4 linked regions of the Drosophila melanogaster genome follow. The protein of the gene in region 1 interacts with the protein of each later gene in a pairwise test. Each region holds a gene or a part of one and is shown on either strand. Other genes may lie near its edges.

The links.
Region 2: the proteins of CG14671 (region 1) and Surf4 interact in a two-hybrid assay, tested with the Drosophila melanogaster proteins (one large-scale study listed by BioGRID).
Region 3: the proteins of CG14671 (region 1) and raw interact in a two-hybrid assay, tested with the Drosophila melanogaster proteins (one large-scale study listed by BioGRID).
Region 4: the proteins of CG14671 (region 1) and CG14223 interact in a two-hybrid assay, tested with the Drosophila melanogaster proteins (one large-scale study listed by BioGRID).

What each region holds. Positions count from the first base shown.
Region 1 is NT_033777.3:5,563,424-5,566,451, reverse strand, and holds CG14671 (uncharacterized protein), read left to right. Parts: upstream 1-1,636; 5' UTR 1,637-1,726; coding exon 1,727-2,046; intron 2,047-2,111; coding exon 2,112-2,259; 3' UTR 2,260-2,475; downstream 2,476-3,028. Other genes in the region: CG12746 (uncharacterized protein), read right to left, coding at 54-310.
Region 2 is NT_033777.3:15,343,117-15,348,076, reverse strand, and holds Surf4 (surfeit 4), read left to right. Parts: upstream 1-1,900; 5' UTR 1,901-2,117; coding exon 2,118-2,168; intron 2,169-2,924; coding exon 2,925-3,188; intron 3,189-3,253; coding exon 3,254-3,664; intron 3,665-3,726; coding exon 3,727-3,813; 3' UTR 3,814-4,424; downstream 4,425-4,960. Other genes in the region: CG31301 (uncharacterized protein), read right to left, coding at 165-387, 452-613, 672-868, 925-1,283, 1,394-1,772. UniProt on the Drosophila melanogaster protein: Endoplasmic reticulum cargo receptor that mediates the export of lipoproteins by recruiting cargos into COPII vesicles to facilitate their secretion.
Region 3 is NT_033779.5:8,737,622-8,742,646, reverse strand, and holds the start of raw (raw), read left to right. Parts: upstream 1-1,986; 5' UTR 1,987-2,233; coding exon of another isoform or gene 2,234-2,262; intron 2,263-5,025.
Region 4 is NC_004354.4:19,658,915-19,665,985, reverse strand, and holds CG14223 (uncharacterized protein), read left to right. Parts: upstream 1-2,014; 5' UTR 2,015-2,367; intron 2,368-2,618; exon of another isoform or gene 2,619-3,317; intron 3,318-3,692; exon of another isoform or gene 3,693-3,982; intron 3,983-4,377; 5' UTR 4,378-4,463; coding exon 4,464-5,322; intron 5,323-5,387; coding exon 5,388-6,274; 3' UTR 6,275-6,544; downstream 6,545-7,071. Other genes in the region: Ssu72 CTD phosphatase, read right to left, coding at 633-734, 793-1,051, 1,114-1,340; elys, read right to left, coding at 6,741-7,071.

The sequences.
Region 1 (3,028 bases):
ATATATGAGTTATGGACTTTGTCGGCATTTGGAATGAAGCACAAAACACTCACAAGAAGGTAATGACGAGGAGAACGCGAAGAACAACATCTACGGCATCGCTGAGCTTCGCATTAGAGTTTCCTGTTCTGTGGCTTCGTTCCTCTCGCTTTTCTGGCTGAACGGAGCTGCTGTCCGTGTTCATAGCAAGTTCATTGCGCCACATTTCGTCGTCGTTGGTCCTGGTCCTCGATCCTGTATTCCTGACGTCCTCTGCGGAACTGTCGCTGAGGGTTCGCCTGGATTCTTGACCTTCCTTGCTCGCAGTCATTTCGTTAGTCCGTTGGGTATATTCGGTTGTCAGCTTAGGCCTGGTGCTTGTCGCCTAAATAATTGAAGAGATAACCAAACGACGAGTCATTAATGATTGCACTTATGTATGCGGACGGGTAAACTACTTCAGGTGTGGGATAGATTGAAAAGAAGGCCTATCTAACTTTTTTACTTCATGTGCATATGTGCTTATCAGTCGCAGATTGGGAAGTCTATTGATGAAAAAGCTAATGCTTTTAGAGAGTATACCGGAATAGGCAGGCAACCCCCCCTTACTGAAGCGGTGGCATGGGCAAGCCTACGATTTTCGCGATTAGATACAAATAGTGAAAAAAATAAGGCCCCATACGAGACGTATAAATTGAGATAAAAATGTTTCCAATCATCCTAGCGATTGTGCCAGCATTTGCTCACACTAAAACTAGAATGTTGATAAATATTTTTATAGGGTTCGTAGAAGGAATCATAGCATTCGCTTTTCTTTCAGTGCACACTTGGCCACGCTTTTCGTCAATGTTTGTCATCAAACGCGGTTACGTATGGCCAGATAGGTATGGATGTGTGTGGTGCACATATATATATGGTATAGTGAGCGGCTATATCGTATAGGATGCCGATGCCATATGCACACGCGATGGATTTAACAAGCCAGGCGTCAAAAACACTATTGGCTAGCTGACGAGCACCTGCTCCTTGCCTGTGCCGCCAATATTGCCGTTGCGGTCGATTGGATTTTCGCGGCGGCGACTTCGTAGGTCCGCCGTACAACTATCGGGCATTATCACCCGATCCGATGCAATCTCCTGGGATTTGGGTATATTTGAGTTGACTTTGGAACTGTTTGCACTTGGGGCATCCACTCGTTGTTAGTCTGGTGGCGTTAATCCCGACGTGGTTTCAACTTGACTGCTTCCCGATTGCTAATGCTGCTGAATGCTAATGGCAGGGCTTTTTATAAACTTTCTCTAATCTCGCAACAGCATCGTAAAACAAACTGCGAAGCCAGCCCCTTTCACCTCACCCCTCTCCAAAAACTAATGCGCAAGAAAACAACAACAGCTGTTTGCCCTTTTCGTTAGTCGGATTCCCCGAGAGTGTGCAGCTTGACCGTTTACTTGTTAATTGGGCATGACCGTGTTTGTTGCGGCAGTAATTACAATTCATTGCGTAAAACTCGTATGCACGCGACAAAACCAAACTTTTTTCAGCCGTTTCTTTTCGTTTTGATTCAAATCAGTCGGTTGTTAGTTTGCAAATCAGAATAGGGCTGGCGATAACATTTGTTATCGACGGTAGTGCCAACTCGGCGCATAGCAGCGATAAGTCAGGGTTGTTGGTGCGATCATATGATTGAAAAATCTCCGTCAGACCGAAATAATAATAATATATAAATAAAGTTATTCCTCAGCCCGCAATGAGCATTCAAAGAAGCGAAAAGGAGGCCGCGGGCCAGCTACTGGATGACTTGTACCTGGACATGTTCCACCTCGTTGAGGAGCACACCCAGTGTCGGATAAATTTGGAGCGATGTAACGCCAGTGGGGCGATTCTCCTGGCCCGCACTAGATTTCAGCACGGAGGCAGCCAGTGCGTGTCCACGGCCCAGATTCCCACGGAGAACAGTGCCGAGTTTAACGCCCTCTGCCGGGTCGTGGACTCCACGGATGGCGTCTGCATCGAGCGACAGGCGGTTGACAAGTCCAAGGGCTTCGTGGAGCCCCTGCATTGGTTCTCGTGAGCACTGATAAAGCCTGTGTGTATGTGGGTCAATGTGATAACTCACTTACTCCTTTTTCCAGGGTACTGCCACCGATGAGCTTGCGCAATGCTGTTAACAAGTTCAAGGACTGCATAGAGCTGGTCGCCGAGAGCACTAATCTGCAGCGGCAGCTAGGAGAAGCGCTGGATTCGATCACAAAGCTGCGAAGGAGTGCCCTGCTTAGCTAGATACTTATGGCGCGCACACAATCCATACAATGTTAAGAATAAAGTAGATTTGAAAACATTATTGAAACAGCACTCACTGACTCTCGATGAAGAAGATATGCGAGAAATTATTGTTGATCTATCTGAAACGTCAATTTCATAATTATCTGACGTATGATCCCACCTCGTTTAAAAAAACCTATAAATGACGCCCAGAAATGCCTTTTCTTTAGTATCAAATAACAAACATTATTAAAATGGACTACATATTTATATCGAGCTTAGAATTTTTCTTATTTTAGTAAGCCAATTAGTTTTTCACAGAATAAGAAGTCCATAAATTGGCTCCCCTTGTCTTTAGTTCTACTTTCACACGTTTTTCTAACCTTTAAGAGTTAGAAACAAAGATTTTTGCACTGTTATTTAGCTAATTTATACAATATAGACTTCCACAAACCTTATCTTGATATTTTAGTACGCCTAAATTTTAAATATTTCCGCTCAGCGCTCTCATGTGCGAGGCTGCCACTCGGCGAGTGCAGAACCAGCAAGTGGGCAGTACCGCGAATTCTACTCGTCAGCTGTTTGATTTGTCAACCATTTTTCGCTTCGTGTTCTTAGCGAAAATTAAATCGAACGCGTAATTCACTTGTTACATTTGCGGAGTGCATGGTGAGTCCCTATCTCGATGGTGTTTGAGATCCTCCGCGTCCCAAGATCCGTTTCTGAAATAAAACTGGGACAGAAGCTGGGGTTCTAAACCAAAAATCGATAATAAATTGCCAAACGA
Region 2 (4,960 bases), 9.8 Mb from region 1:
AAAATTGCAGCTATGCTTCTTCTTTCTCGCAGCCATTCAGCACGAAACGTAAACAAAGTACACGGTCAGAAATACTTTTCATATATTTTACATCCTTTATATTAAAACTAAGAATAAAGATCTTTTTATAAGAGTACTATGAGCTGAGATTTTGTTCGTCCTGCCTATTCACATACATCGTTCATCTCCAGGTCGGCCACATGACCAGGAAACAGGTGCGCCTTCTGCATGGGTACGTGCACAAAGTAACGATCACAAAACTTGGGGTTCCGCCGAAGCAGGACCTCAGTCAGTATTGTGCCATAGTCGATCTTCTTGGTAATCAAAAGGCGCCGGCTCTCTCCACTCCCATAGCTAGCGGAACGCAAGCCAAATTGTCTGGCGATTCTGTAAAGGGAAATGCCAACATAATAAGCAATTATTTTTTACGATGTGGGATGACGGTGCTTACTGGTGAAGCGTGGTTCTTTCTTCCTTCGAAAACGTGGGCTCAAACTGCATGTCACGTATATCGTCCGATCTCACATAGTTTTCTATAAGCCGTCGGTAATCAGCGAAATTTCCCTTTGGATTTATTAATCCAAGACCATTACGATTGTTCTTTAGCAGATAACTGAAAATATAAAATAAAATAGTTTCGTTTGGTGATACGTTAAAAGTCGAACTCTTACCATACGGGCTCTTCACGTCCCTGCTTCAGTCGCCCTAAGCCACCGCCTGTCCAGCCCATCAGTCGCATCATGCGATATCCCTTGTTGCTGGGGTCCAATTTGGGATCGCACGGACTGTCGGCGGACTCATTGGTGACTTTGATGTTGACGCCGTCCTTGTTTTTTTCCACCTTGATGGTGTCGCGCGTGGCATTCAGCTGTGTAGCGTAGTACCGGGTTTAATAAGGCATACATTATTTCAGAAATTTCATACCTTAATACTATAGCAATAGGACTGGATCGTCAAATGCGCCTGCTTATAGGCAGCTTTCTTGGCCGCCTTAAGGCTCTCCCCCTGTCCTGTCGCTATTACCTCATCATTTACTAATAATTCGGCGTATTTTGTATTATCGCTTAATGGCTGATCTCGGCTGACACGCTCTTCGTACTTGACATTCGCAATGTTGCAGGAGTTTTGCAGGCAGGCTCGTCCCCCAGCCAAGTACACAATGAGCCGACCGAAACGCAGATCTTGATAGAGATCGACTGGATCTCCGCCGCCAAAACACTGGCGTTTTATGTGTGAGCTATCCTCTGGGGAGCTCGTCGAGGGAAGGGGTGGAGCCCGGCGCCCTAGTAGTTGGAATTAGGCATTAGGCTTTGGTCTCTCTGGCTCGTATAGTTACTAGTGATAAAAAGAATCTTCTCTCGCCTATGGGCCCACTAATTGTTCAGTCGTCTACCTTTGGCGCGCTGCTCCGCCGCATCCGACGCCGAGACAAATGTTCTCTTCAGGCGCTGTTCCCGTTTCTGACGGAAATCCGCTGCGATTTCCTTGGACAACTCGGCCACCAAAAGCATCGTCGCGCTTGGATACTTGCAGCCCATGAACTCCATGTTGACGAACGTTTGGGCCAGGCACACCAGCCGGTCCTCCTCAAAACGATCCTTGTGGGCCAGCATGAAGCTGCGTCGCAGATCCCAGTGCTCATCACTTTCGTATTCCGTCTTGTAGCTGTCTACATCCCAGTCCAAGGAAAATTCCCCGGATCCATAGCCGGCATCATCCTGTTTTTTAACTTTGACTTTCTTCTGCTTTGGCTTGGATTGTTGAACGGACATCTTTACAGGGAAAATAAATAGCGTTCAACTTGTCAAATAAAATGAGCACAGGCACGCTTGTTTTTTGATTGCTGCTTTCCCATTCACAGCGAATTATCAATTCGATTGGCCATGTGTTGCCCATTGGCTATCGATAACGCAGCGATAACGATAGGCCCCATCACGGCTATACTTTGTCGTGCGTGTGTGTTTTTAAGTTCCTGCCTTTTAATTCATGATTTTTTGGTAACTTAACAACAATTTGGAGAGCGACGCGACGCCCAAGAAGTCAGAAACGAATTGCCAAAGTGTCTCCACAGACGATTGCCCCAAAGTGAGAGATCGGATCAGCCCAAAGCAGCCAACATGAGCATACCCAACGAGTACATAGCGAAAACGGAGGATGTGGCGGAACAGGTAAGATATATTAGGTTCCACTGCCAAAAAGAAGTCCACCAGGACTCCATATCCACCGCAGGAAGCGTCTTCCCGATGCGCCCCAAATGGCGTTTGCGGGGAAGCCCTGGCAGCTGCAAACTGGGAAAACTGCCAACGTCACCCAAACGCGGCAAAGTTCGAGGGTCTTGGCTGCATATAATCACGATCCGCTGACATGGGGGCAACGTGCTGGGCATTTGCTTCCAATAAGAATCTGGGTGCAACCCAGATGATGGGTTTGCCTTGTACTCCAGTACCGCAATTGACAGTTGTTGCGTCTGCCGCAGGGAAAACTCTCTCTCTCGCTGCTTATTTTCTACCTGTGTGCTGATGCGTATGTGTCTGTGTGTGTGTGCGAGAGAGCTGTCTCCGCAAGTGAAAGTGTTGAAAAAGAAATAGCGGGCAGCTGGACGCCAGCGGCCAGGTCGAGTTCCGTAATAGTTGGGCTAGAAAGCCAGGTGAACTTGCTCGCGATTTACATACATACATGTATGAAGTTACATTGACAGCCGGGCCAAAACCCGTTAGCTGGCAGATAGCAATCGAGAGATACTAGCGTTTAGAGACACGTCACAGCCAGCGGGCGATTTCTAGCGACTACGCGCAAGCCACGCTCAACGGCATTGTATATTTAAATCCCTTATCACCTTGTCAGTAGTCCCCTTATCACCATATCAGCACCCATCCCAATTGCTCTCAACTCAACCAGAACCAATCGAACACTCATTTTTGCAGGTCATCAAGCGCGGCAAAAATGTGCTGCCCACAGTGGCCCGTTTGTGCCTCATCGCCACGTTCTTCGAGGACGGCCTGCGCATGTACATCCAATGGAACGAGCAGCGGGAGTACATGGACATGAGCTGGGGCTGCGGCAAGTTCCTGGCCACCGTCTTTGTGCTCGTCAACCTGTTGGGCCAACTGGGCGGCTGCGGCATGGTGATGGCCAGATTTAAGGTCGACATAGCGGTGGGACTGCTTTTCTTCATTGTGGTGTTGCAGGTGAGTCTGCATTTATATCAGCCAGAAGCAAAAGCCTTGACGTTAACCCGATCCTCTGTTTGCAGACCGTTGCCTACTCCATTCTGTGGGACTTCCAGTTCTTACTGCGAAACTTTGCACTCATCGGAGCCCTACTGCTCGTCCTGGCGGAAGCCAGGATAGAGGGGCGCAGCCTGTTTGCCGGCGTGCCATCGATGGGCGAAAACAAGCCCAAGAACTTCATGCAGCTGGCGGGCCGCATCCTGCTGGCCTTCATGTTCATCACTTTGATCCGCTTTGAGCTGAGCGTATGGCAAGTTATACAGGACATCATCGGCTCCATTCTGATGGTGCTGGTCGTGCTGGGATACAAGACGAAGCTGTCCGCCCTGATTCTGGTGGCTCTGCTTACGATCCTGAACCTGTACCACAATGCCTGGTGGACCATTCCGTCCTACAAGCCACTCAGGGATTTCTTGAAATACGACTTTTTCCAGGTTAGCAGGTTTACAATATCTTTCGCACGAATTTGTGTTATTTTTACGCATTCCCTTCGCAGACTCTCTCGGTGATCGGTGGCCTCCTCATGATCGTGTCCTTGGGCCCTGGCGGCGTTTCCATGGACGAGCACAAGAAGAAGTGGTAGAGGCCAGGCAACGGTCGCTCCTTGAACGAAACACTTTCAACATTTGACTTTTACCGTGTTTTACTCCTTCTGAGAAATGTTAGTTAGGAATTACCATAAAATGGGACAACAACAGGAGCAGCATCAGCAGCACAACACCGGCACGTATAAGAACTTGACAATTTTCAATAAAGGGACTTCCGCAATACCCCTCTCCAATGGCTCACTTATTGGGATCGCCCCAACCCAACTCCAAATCCATTCGCGCACATTCAACGACAAACTTCGACATTTTAAACATTTAGGACATTTTATTTTTGTACATAAAGAACAGGCAAGAAAAAAGTTTGGTCACTTTCGAGCCCACCCCAAATGAGAGACATAACTGATTTTATATCTATGCTTGTCAATATCCATGTTTTTTGCCGATTTTTTTATATGATTTGTACACTCTTATAAATAAGTTGTAACCTTGGTGTTTGCCTTTTGTTGATTGCTAGAAGTTTGAATATGAAAACGATGTATAAAATATGATGTACCAATTGACAATGATTTGTTTCTTTCGTTTATAAGCAAAAGTGTAATAGAATTAAATTGTAACGTTTTAATAAACATAAAGATGAAAAACCGAGACTTGTGCATTTTAAACTTGGCGCCAATTGGCCGATAAATGGTTAATGCTTTTGTTTGTTTACCAGCACTAAGGCACAGCTGACTCGCAACGTCAACAAAGAGGGAAATGCCCATTCTTCGACTACTGGGTACCCCGTACTAAGTTAGCTGCTAGTGAATCCTGCATAACTAACAATAAATAACTTTATTGCAAAAATAAGAGCATAAACCTTATACAAGTAGTACGATTAAATTTTGTAAATAGACACAAAATATAATGATAAAAAAAATGATTAGGCACCGTTTTGAATGGTAATGTTAGTGAATTAACTAAATATAAAACAATATATTGAAAAGCCCTGACCTCTCCAACAAGGCAGTGAAATGTCAACGGCCTCACTTTTTTTTAAAAACTTGAAATCAAATCTGAAAATAGGGATGAGTACATTTGATTAATTTCCAAAAATTGTTGCAATCAGTTCAAATCAATTGCAATACACAATGCACACAAGTAACTTATAGGGGCGGAAGTGTTTTCTGCAGCTGGCGACAAACA
Region 3 (5,025 bases), on another chromosome or scaffold:
AACGGCCACGCCCACAGTCCCGCCCCCTGCGGCATACCACCCCCGCCTCCCTCTTCGCACACTAGAACCACTGCCGCTGGGTAATTTGATTTCCTCGACGCTGCCATCATCTGCATCCTTGACGTCGGACACGTTTCTGCCTAATGGAGTTGCTCGAGTGGCGTGAATTTCAATTAAATTAAATCAAAATGTTGCATTTTTTATTAAGCCCATTAGCGGCACACACGGAAAACCCGCCCCCTCAGAGGACCGCCCGCTGGCCCCTAGTTGGTTAAATTAAGTTAAGATACCACCTCGTCAGTGCGAAAAGAACTTGTATCTTAATGTGCATAATGAAGTGCCAGACTTGACTTGCCATCCAGGAACACCTGGATGTGCCAATATAAATCCGGTGACTGCACTGATCCTACTGCTGCGAGGAAAAGCTATCGGGAAAATCCCAGTTTAGATGAAAATGGGGCCATTCAATAACTGAATTGCTATTTTTGCTAGCAAAATGATTTTAAGGGATTTACTTATTCAATTCATAATTATTTATAAATAGCGAATTCTTAATTTATAGTTTTATATATACACACCTTTTAAATGATTTATGTAAGTTTCTTATTAATAGATATTTATTTACAAGAAAATGTTAAGGAAAAGGCTGCTGTTTTTCCGACTGTTTCTGCGAAAAGCCAAATATCAGTGCACAAGAAGAGTTGGTGGGCGAAGAAAAGTGGAAGTGGAGTTTCCTATTGTTGCACATGCATTAAGAGTAATGCTGCAGTGCTCGGAAAATGCTGGAAAGAGGGTGAAAATGCTACTTTGAGTGGCAATAAACAATGCATAATGAGTTGAGAGTCGCGTTATTATTGTTGCAGCCCGTGGCTGAGACTGTTCATTACTCAAACAGGTAATTTAAATTAAGCCAAAACAATACGCCAAGGTGGCATTTAAAGTAGGTGCAAAACGCATTTCGCCATTAGGAAATTGCCAATTAAGAAGCAAACACTTCTGGGTCCATTCATTACTGCAACACTTGCAGGCAAATCATTTAATTGTCTTTTAAAAATATACTTAAATCAGCAGAGGCGGCAAAGTATTACAAGTCTTCATGCACTTTCTCAGATATGACTAGCCACAAGCACTTAATTCTTGATATCACTTGGAAGTGGCACTTCCAAATCAAAATTATATACATTTAGTAAATAAGAACTATTCGAAAAGACATTTTTCATTTAAAAAGGGAACATTAAGATTTTACTAATTTTTCTATTATCTTAAAGAAAAAATTTTCTAATTTCCACATTCCGTATTTTGTTAATACAACATTTCATTAATAATAATGCAGATATACCCACGATGTCAGGATTTTAAAATAATCTTGAATAATTTGCAAAAGTTAGATCAGAGCAAATATAACATAGATTTAAATTTGTGATACTGTTACCTAACAGAATTTTACAATGTTATTGAAATGTTAATTTTAACACAAAAAAGTGCTCTTCTGCTAATTTTTACATGCACCCAAGACAACAACCATCGAATACAACTGAGTATACGTTCGTTAAAATTTTGGTGGCAACGCTTGTATTCCTAATCTATTAAGATGGCAAGGCTCGTTATCTGAAGAATTTACATTGGCAGCATCAAACATCATTAACTTTGAACTGTTATACAATGGTGCCAATGTAACTTTTTCTCGACAAATGAATTTTGTACTTATTTACCCAAGTGTATATGGAAACAATCAGGTACCGAAAATGTGAACTCTTACAATATATTTTACCTCTTTTTCATCTTAAGTTGTTTTTTTATAAAAGATATCAGCACTGCTGCAAAGACAGCATGCTTTAATATATAATATATATTAATTAAATAAGTTTCACAGTTTTTACGTGGTGTTAACCAACTTACAAAATTCACTCACAAATGTTAACATTCTGTACAAGCATTAGTGTTACCAAATACTCGATAGTATTTTCGCCGTTCCACCAGCTGGTCACACCAGAGACGAATTTAGAAATCTAAAGAGAACCCAACAGTTTCCTAATGCAAATACAATAAACTAATTGTTTAAAATGTGACAACAGTGAACCAAATGCTTGCTGAGTAATAAACCAAAGGATGTTTTGTTTTTTTCTAAAACGTGCCAAGTGAATCGGCTCCACGCAAATGAGAGTGCGGTCTGAAAACAATGGAGCTGCCGTAAAGAATTGATTAAACAAAATAGTCGAGAAGAGAGCGCAAAATGCACAAAATGGTTAAATTATTCCTCAGGTAATTTCAGTCCCAACAAAAACAGCATGTGCCAGATTGCTTTCGTGCTCTTATTGCTGTTGTTGTAGTTCTAGACTCTCTCTTTGCGCTTTAATATTATGAATGACGTAAGCGCGCCTCTTTGGTAGCAATACAAAAGCAATAACAACAATTTGGTTTTGTTGCTTTTGTAAACAAGGAAAATAACAGAATGGTTTTGTACCGCTCGCGTGTGTGTGTGCATAGGTGAGTGGGGAGCTCACTCACCTATGCACACACACACACAAACGCAGGTAAAAGTGGCGTCGTTGGATTTTTACTTGGAAAACGTGTTCGAACTATAAAGAGAAATAGTAAGAGAGAGCTGAGCAGTCTAGCGCTCTTTGCAATGTTATTTCTTTTTTTGGTCAATGACCTAAGCTTTTTCGTCCGTTAGTTGAATTCGTTTCTTTCGCCAATTTCCGTGCTTTTGTGTGCGAGTTAAAAAACTTGGTCTATTTTCACAAAAATCATTGTTTACACTTTGTTGATGTGTAGGTAATTTTCCCAGGCTTTCTTAGCCTCATTTTTCAAGAAAAGGAGTAAACACTAAGTTGGAGGCCAAAGTTGTGAATGGTAAAAAAAAAACGTAATTTTTAAAGAAATTTAAAAAAAAAACTGCCAGCAGTAAACAACGTACAAATCAAAAGAGAATAATTGAGAATACTATAATTAATAGTGTTGTATACATGAAATGTTCAAGAACTTTATTTCCCGAACACATAAAGCATGAAATGAGTCTTCATAGTGTTTCCTTATATCTCTGAAAACAAATAGTATATCACTCGATCATCCAATTGCCTTGCTGTTGTGACATCTTGACAGTAATTAAGTTTATGCACTCAATTGTCACAAAGCCGGAAACAAAAGTGCACAAAGATGTAACATGTTGGTACATTTTTTGCAATGACAACAGCACGCAAATTAGTAAACATTACCGGCCAAATAACAATGCACTGTTTGGAAAATAAAGTAAATATTATGAAATAAATATTATTGTTGTTATACAAAACAGAAAGCAATTACGGAGAAGCAGTAACTGCAGCACAGGTATATTTGCATTCGTGATAACTTTTTGGTAAATAAATTATCTAAGCAATAAAAATGTTTTAAACTTGTAGGATTTTATTTTGGCTTATAAACATAAATACACTTAAAAATAAGTTTTAGGTCGCTTGTTTCAGTTTGTTTCAGAATGTTTTAAGAGCACCGTATAAAATTTTCGAAATTTTCCACAATCTTGAACGGTACTTCTGCGTATTAAGATTAATTGTTTGGCCTTTTATCAGTCTATTTCACTGGAATAAATATTTAACTAGTACTCAGATTTTGTAGGGCACTCTATATGCGGTGTACTTTGCTGACCGAAAAAAAGAGAGATACAAATGTTGAGAATGCGAGGGAAAACGCTTTTGTGATCTTCTTGATTTAAAAATTTTAACGCCAGTGCTGACCGAGCAATTAAAATGTAAACAGGCGGGAAATGAATAAGCGTGCCAGGGAAAAATAAAATGAAATCCCAAAATATTTACAATCATGCAGCAGCAGTTGCACATAAAAACCCAGGAAGAGAAGAACGGAATCTTAACGTGTATGCTTTCGAAAATATACTTGTACCTTAAAATGGCAAATTGGCAATAAGAAACCGACGCGACATTAATATGGCTAGGTAAATACAAAGGCATCATTACCGAAGGTCGTTTTTGTTTGCGTGCGATAAACTTTTTTTCTTTCGACTTTATAGCAAATATTCACGCATACAAACAAACCCGAATGCTTCCCTGTGTTTGCGATTGGTATTATCTGTGTAGGCCTTTGTTATCCAACCATTTGCTTATCTGGGCACGGCTGTCAATGCGTGTGTTTGTGATGGATACTTGATTGAATTGTTGTCCGTATGTTAGCGCCTAAAAAACAATCGACAGCCGCTTATCAGCTGGCAGAAACATAAATAAAATTTCCTCAAACTGAAGCCGAAGGTAAAATGCTCTCTAAATCAATTGCTATTATTAAATAGTATTAGCTTAAGAAGCAAGAAGGTTACGTTTCAAGGGTATACAATAGTCGTTAGCCATGTCATCGTAAAGTCACTGCCCCTCCTCGCACACATTCAAACAGTTTGTCAATCAACCGACAATCGGTTGCCAATCAAACAACAAAAATTCGTGGGTGAGGTGAGTTCTAGATTTTCTTTGGTTAGAGGATGGGAAAATCTGTCTGAAAAGTGGGACAGCAATTGACTGACTAATCGAACACATTGTTTAAGTCAATTATTTCCATTTAAGCTACATGATTCGTTTCGAAAATATTTCACAGTATATGGATGTTTTGAATACTTAGTAAAAATATATAAAATTCGCAATACTTACTTTCAATGTATTTAAAATATCAATTGGATTGGACATAATTTACACTTGTTGCATTCCTTTAACCTTATCCACAAATTAACAAAGTCCAAATTGTTTTCCATTTGAAGTACAAATATTATTGTTTTGTATTTTGTTATCTTATCTAATTCTTCTGAAATGACAAGTTATCCAATAGCAAATATTTGATTACTACAAACTATATTGTAATTATGCAGTAATTTTGTTTTTCCCAACTAAAGATGTTAGGAAAATAGAAACAATCACAACTAGGAATCACTTTCTTATCTGCATCTTCTGTTGTGTTTTGTGTGTCAAGTATAAAAGTATCAACAATATGTTATCCCATTTTATCTCCTCCAATTAAATACCCAAAATA
Region 4 (7,071 bases), on another chromosome or scaffold:
TCTCTGGCGTGCATGCTCATTCACACAATCACGATGCGAGATTTCACTTTATGTGAATCGAATCCGAATCTGAGTCCGAATCGGACTCAAAGCCGGGCGAAGAGAGCGGCAGAGCGGCCGAACGGGAGAACGGGTCGGAGTCAGATGGTCGGCGCCTTCGCCAGCTGAGGGAAGCGAGAGCCTGTGATAAGACCCCCAGTCGACGGGCGAAATTACAAGGAATACGGACACGTACACATACTACTACAGGGGTTTTGGGGGGCAGCCGTGTGGAAATGGTCGTCATTGGTTGTGTGTTATATTCCAATTCATTAGCCAGTTGCTTGCATGTGTGGTGTTGATGTGGATTACGAATCAGGTGTTTGGAGTATGCGAGTGTGTGGGTGCTGGTCGTTGTTGGATGTGCTTTCGCTGCAGCGATGGCCCCTCTCTATTTACAGTATTCTTATATGCTAGGCTACCAATCCGGAACCCAGGATCCGCACGCGCTGCGCGCAATGCCCGACGTCCTATGCTCTGCGATCGCAGCCCCTGGGGTACAAGATCGAGTGACTCGGCTGGAGCGCGTCGGGGCTACGGGAGTCTGGTGTTGGTGCTGGAGCTGGACACGAACTGTTAGCAGACGTCGGTCGTCAGTAGAAGAGCACCGAGTGCAGGATGACCCGCTTGCGGCGCTCCTCGAACTCCTGGATCAATTCGTCGATGTCGTTGTCCAGGTCCGTGGACTTGGCCATCTGCAAAGGCACAAGAATCGTTGGGCGAATTGAGGGAATGGACGACAGATGATCATACCATGTTTATCATGTCTGTGATGACAAAGGCGCCCATTAGCGCATCTTCAGCGTTGTCCACCACATCCACGTTGAGAACGTGCACGGGTCGGTTGTCCACGGATTCCATGGACTCCATGTGCATCACCACCAGGTCGTAGACGCGCTCTTCCACAGTGACGATGATGTCGAACTGCTCTTTGGTGTCCTGAAACCGTTCCGGGCACTTCTTTATGCGACGATTGCGGTCGAGCATGTGTAGCAGGCCGTTCTGTGTGTAGCTGTAAACAGGACGAAAGGGCAGGGATTAGCCAACGGTAGGCCGGAAAAACGAATAACTCACAACTCCTTGTCCTTGGACTCCAGGTCGCGGTAGATGTCCTCGTATTTGGTGCCAAACTCGTAAACATTCGGCTTGTCGAACGCCATGCCCGGTAGCTTGACGCGCTCGCCGGTGCCGTAGGAGCGCACATTGAAACCCTTCTTGGCCAGAAAGTTGTGCGCCTCCATTGAGCGATTCATGTTCGAGGAACAGACTACGGCGACGGCGAGCTTGCTAGGATCAGTCATGTCTCTTTCTCTTTGGCAGTGCGTTGCAATCGCAGTCGTCGAAAAATATGTTCATCAAATTGGAGATGGGATGGCAAAACCACGAGCACGAATATCGATACGATATATTCACGAACATACATTTAACGTGTTAATCTGAAAACACGCGATTTAAAAAATTCTGCAGTGTTTAATTGAACACGTTGACTTCACGTTCAAAATATTCAAAAAACCTAAAAAAAATATACGTTATAACAACTGATAATTAGTACGGAATATTTAAAACTAATTATGTAAAAGCCTCGAGTTTTTGAAACATTTTTGGCCAAACAAATACATAACATACATAGCTACTTAACATAATTAAAGTTCGAGGAGTCCTGCAGCATTAAATATGATCAAACTAACAGCTGGCAATTACCTATCGTAATGTCTTAAAACGTATTTATAATCCTGCAACTTGTATAAAATGAAATATCTCATACTACCCTTAGCATAAAAAAGGGCTCCCCCTGGTTAATATCAATGTTATATCGAATAATTCCAATTTATTAAATCTATTTTAAATTCGAAATATTTTTCTGGACTCCAGCTCCACTACTATTGACACTTTCAACTAGTTATATCGATTTCTTGCCGCCAGTTTACGAACTTTTCAACACTGTCGACCAGTTCGACGCAGTCTGGCAGCGTTGGCGGTCAATTCTTATTTTTGAATCCAACCGAAGTGAATTTGGATACGAAAAGCGCCAAAACTGAGTTAATCTAACTATAAGTGAATTTTGTTACTAAAGCGCGAATTTGAACTTGAATTGAAAGCGGCTTGCAACACCCAATGGCGAATTTCGCCGTCCCAAGCGCATAGGCAACCGCAGTAGTAACCGACAACAACCTTTCAGTTTGGAGCTCGTGGAATGCGGCTGAGCAACTTGGAGCCGTTGCCTCCATTCTTTACCTGTGTGTGGAGTGAGGCAGGAGGACTAGAAGCACCATCGCCACCAGCGGCACCACAACCAGCAGCAGCAGCAGCCGCCGCATCGCGTGTGTTGTGAGTTAAGCAGGTTTGCGGCACAGTGGGTCGCATTGCTTGGCACTTGCGACAATATCAAAACAACCGTTTCTCCCCTTTCCAAACAATTAACAGATTGAAAAGCGTCTAAACTTCTTTTCACCTTTTGCTAACAAAAACCTATTTCAAAAAATATTCCCATTGAACCCAATGCCACGTCATTCTTGCTTGATAATTTAAAATAACCTTTATTTGTTTATTTTATATTAAACCGTAATTGTAGCGTCTTTGGGCCAAAAACATTTTAAAGTAAGCTTATTGTATATCATTTTATATTATACTTTGACAAAAGTGACACAACACAATTCATATACGTTTTGGATATCATTATACGGGAATAACATTGGGACAAATCTTGTAGAAAAAACAAAAAATATTTGTGCTAAAAAGCTACCATTTTGGCCATGATGTTCCACTGTGCAAAGCGGCGTTTGGAGCTGGAATTGATATTGGAATTGGCTCGTTCCACTGCTCACCTGTCCGTGTGAGCAGCGTGTGCATGAGTGGGTGAGGTGAGAGGAAGAGACAGAGACACACAGCGAGAGCGAGAGAGAGAGGGAGAGAGGACCCAACTGGTTGGTCGAATAGCTGCCGGCAGTACCGAAGTTCCTGAGATCCAATATTAGTCGTACTTTGTCACTCGATCGGTCAGGGCGTCGTTGTAGCCTTCGTTGTCGTCCACTTGCCGCCAAATCGGAACGCCTGCTGGCGGTGCTTGGTTATTGGGATTGGGATTGGACATCGCGTTCGGTGCGGGTGAGGGAGGGGAGCAGGCGGCGGAGGAAATAGCTCCCGCGGCATTTGCCACCGCGCTATATCGATCCGCCAATTAGGGAGTGGAATCCGGCGCTTTCTTCGCTGGACAACGACCATGTAAAGGTCACAGGTCAAGAACGGAAACTGTAGTACCAAAAAAGAAGAAGTCGGAGGTAAACCCGTTTTACAACCTGCCAATTGCAATTTGTCTTGGGTTCTTTTAGTTTTTACTTACATATGTACGAAACCAGGTGTTTTTCGTTATTTTTACACCACACCACCAGTCGCAAGATATTGCATGAAAATGCATTAAATGCAAGGCAAAAGTAGTTAATTCATTATCGGTTCTTAATGTGGACTATCTACGTACATAATTACACTCAACGTTCCATTTTTTTTTTTTTTTTTTGGGACAAAACGGGTCTTTAAAGCAGTTACATTCGTTTAAAAATAGTTTTGAATACCTTGAAGAAGTCGTCTCCGCTTTGATGACACCTTTAAGTGCATTTTCTTGGGGCTATGGAAAACTGTTTGCTCAGCTCAAAAAGCTTTTCCGAGTAACAACCAGGTTTCCGAGGAACCAGCCATGAACCATGGGAACCTATCTATCGGATCACGGACCTTGAAACCAAAAGTAGAACAGATATCTTCAAAGACACATATGTATGTACATATATGCAGATCGATATTGTCAGTTCAGTCACAAGATCTAAAGCACCATTAAGAAACTGCAATAGGAAAAGCCTAGTAGCGAGTATCTTTTGATCCTGAAGAAGTTTTCCTACGAAATAAGATGCTTTTTCTATCAAATTCACATCTAATTTAAAAGTGCTTCTAGGTAAGATTAAGTACTTAGTACTTTAGATTTATTTTTTCGAGCCTCGCTTGCTTTTGCTTTTATTCCCGCCATTAGACGCTGGTGGAAAGTTCTTCGCCATCCGTTAATTGCACAATACATGCGATGCACAATTTCCACATAAATGCATGTACATACATTTGTATATAATATATATGTATGTATATATAAATGATGGGAAAGTTTTGCGCATGCGCAGCCACTGGCGAAATGAAAGTGCTTATGATGGGGCGCAGTTTTTTCTCTCTCTGCAGACAAATACCGTTAATACCGTTGCAGTTTGCAGTTACCAACACATAGCTAATATGCAACACAGTTAATCTCTTGAACTTTCCACTTTACTGAAACACATCTAATGCCAGCAATGCACTTCGCAGGTCGACTAGTCCTGCTGCAGCAACAGCAACTGATCCGTGACGCCCAGTTCAGCATGTGACCGGAGTGGAGGACCAATCCGCCGGAAATGCTGAAGCACGCCTCGACGACGAGCAGCACCGCTGCGACCAGCGCCACCAGCGCTGCAGTGGCCATCAACCCGCTGTCCACTCTACTGGTCAATAGCTGCAACAGCAACCCGAACAGCAACAGCAGCAGCAGCAACAACCACACAGGAGGCAGTGGCAGTGGCCACAACACACCCCCAACGGTGGAAGCGGAAGCGAGCATCGGTATTGGAATTGGAGTTGCAACCACCGCGACCACAGCAGGCACGGCCGGCACCACCAATGGCAATGGTGGCTCACCGACCCCAGCAGCAGCTGCTGTGGCCAGCACCGCGCGCAACATTCACCTGCGGCCGCCGCAGCCGCTGAATATATCCGCCCTGAATGCGTCCGTTTCGAGCACGCTGCTCAACGAGGGCACAGGTGCCATGGGCGGAGGAGTTGCTGGCGGAGTAGGTGCGGGACGGGGTTGCGTGGGCAATGCCAATTCAACGCTGCTAAACATTGCCACGCCCAGTACGCCGCTCAAGCCGCTCACCCCGCTCACGCAGTTGACGCCCAACGGGCACTTTCTGGGCAACGGGAGTGTGCATCATCACACCTACACCAACCAGCACATCCTGGCCAGCCACCAGCAGCAGCAACAGCAGCATCAACATCATCATCAGCAGCAGCAACACCACAACCACCACAACCACCACCACCAACACCAACAAACGAACCATGCGCAAGCTCAAAGCCAGACACACAATCTTAGCCAGTTGCCGCAGAACTACAGGAACTTCAGCCACCCGAGCACGAATCCTGTGCGCCACAAGCTGCCCAAGTCGGGCCCATCACCGCGCGAGGCCCTCACCAGCCTGGGTCTGCTCTGCCTTAGTAAGTTCATCCGATATGGTGACGGGAGAGCGTCAAGTAATGCCTGTTTTTTTTTTTTTCTGCAGTTTCCCTGCTTCTGGCGCTGCTCTCGCTGATTTTCCTCCTAAGGATATCACCGAATGGACGCGAGGACGCCGTGGGTCGGGGCGCCGGTGGCGAGGACTTTATTGTAGTTTACGACGTCACCCTGGCACTGGGCGCCCTCTCCCTATCGCTGAACCTGTGCTGCCTACTGGTTTGCGCCATCCAGTTCCTGTTCGCCGTCAAGCTGCGCGAGCCGGCCTTCGAGGGTCGCGATAACCAATACCTGGTCAAGTCCAGTGCCAGCCGCACGTGCGCTGTCAGCGGCTTCTTCATCTCCATACCGGTCTTTCTGACCGGCCTGATCCTGTACACCTTTAGTCACTTCCACTCGACGCCGGCGATCGTGACCAGCCTGCTGATTGGAGTGGGCATAGTATTCTGCGGCGGCGCCATGGTGCACAACGTGTTCGTGTGGCAGCGCGAGAAGACCATTAGCTACCGTGGAGCACCGCTGTCCCACAACTTGTCGGTGATCTCGGCTGGCCAGCTGCCGGCGACGCTGCCTGTGTCCATGCCACTGCCACCGGGCCCGTTCCACACGTACCAGGCCGCTCATCAGGGGCACCAGAGCCACCTGGTGCCGCCCTCCGTGACGGCGGTCTCGCCGAATCACTCCCACGGCAGCTTTAACCCACTTCTCCTTGGTGGAGGGGGCGGCGGAGGCGGAGCACTGGGTGCCGTTAACTCCTCATTTCTGGTGCGTCCAGCCACTGCCACACCACCGACGCCCACGCCCAGAACACTGGCGAATAGCAGCTGCCTAACAGCAGGTCGCGAGGCCAGCGGATCGGTCAGCCCGGGCATTCCGCCAACGCTGGACATGAGCAACATCACCGTCCTCCTACACGAGCTCTCCACGCTCGTCTAGATCCGCTTAAGCTGCGGACTTGACTGCGCACAGACTTACAGACGATATCCACCGCACGCCCGCATCTCTTGCCGAATCCTAGCTGTAAGAACGACCATTGTAAATACCTGTACATATGTATGACTCCGAACCATCTAACGAATACATCTTTGTAAGCTAAAGAACTGCATCGCCATTATCATGAAATGTAAGTAACCCGTTTGTGCTCCTCCTTAACTTCAGATCCGAAAGGATTCGGATCGGAGCTCAATAATAATAATCTTTATTTTGAAAAATCCGTCTGCTTATAAAACTCAAAAGTGTTGGGTGGATGCTATCAATTCCACATTAACTTCAATTTATTTAAACACTCAAACTAATGCCAAACTAAAATTAAAAATATTAAACGTAAGCAAAGTAAAAAATAAAAATACAGTGCCTTCCGAGCCGATTCTGAGTCTGCTGATCCGGTGATCCGGGTGCATAACTAATGCTCCGACTTGGAGGTGCGACGCAAGCGCGGACGTAGCTCCCGGTTCTGCGTGCTGGCGGCAGAGTTGGACTTAGAGCCGGTCCTAGAACTGGAGGCTTCCGAGCGAAGGTCACCTGTGCCATTCGCAGACTGATCGCTCAGTTCCGAGATGCGTCGCCTAGCGGTGCGACGGAGACGCGGCTGCTCCTCCTCTGGTGCAGTTGAATCGGGTACATCTATGGGAGCATCGATCGGAGTCGGAGAGACGGCGACTGGTGACTGGACGCCTGAGCTCGTCTTGCGCGATCTGACCCCCGCACGAGCAGTCTTCGGTTTGCGCACCAAC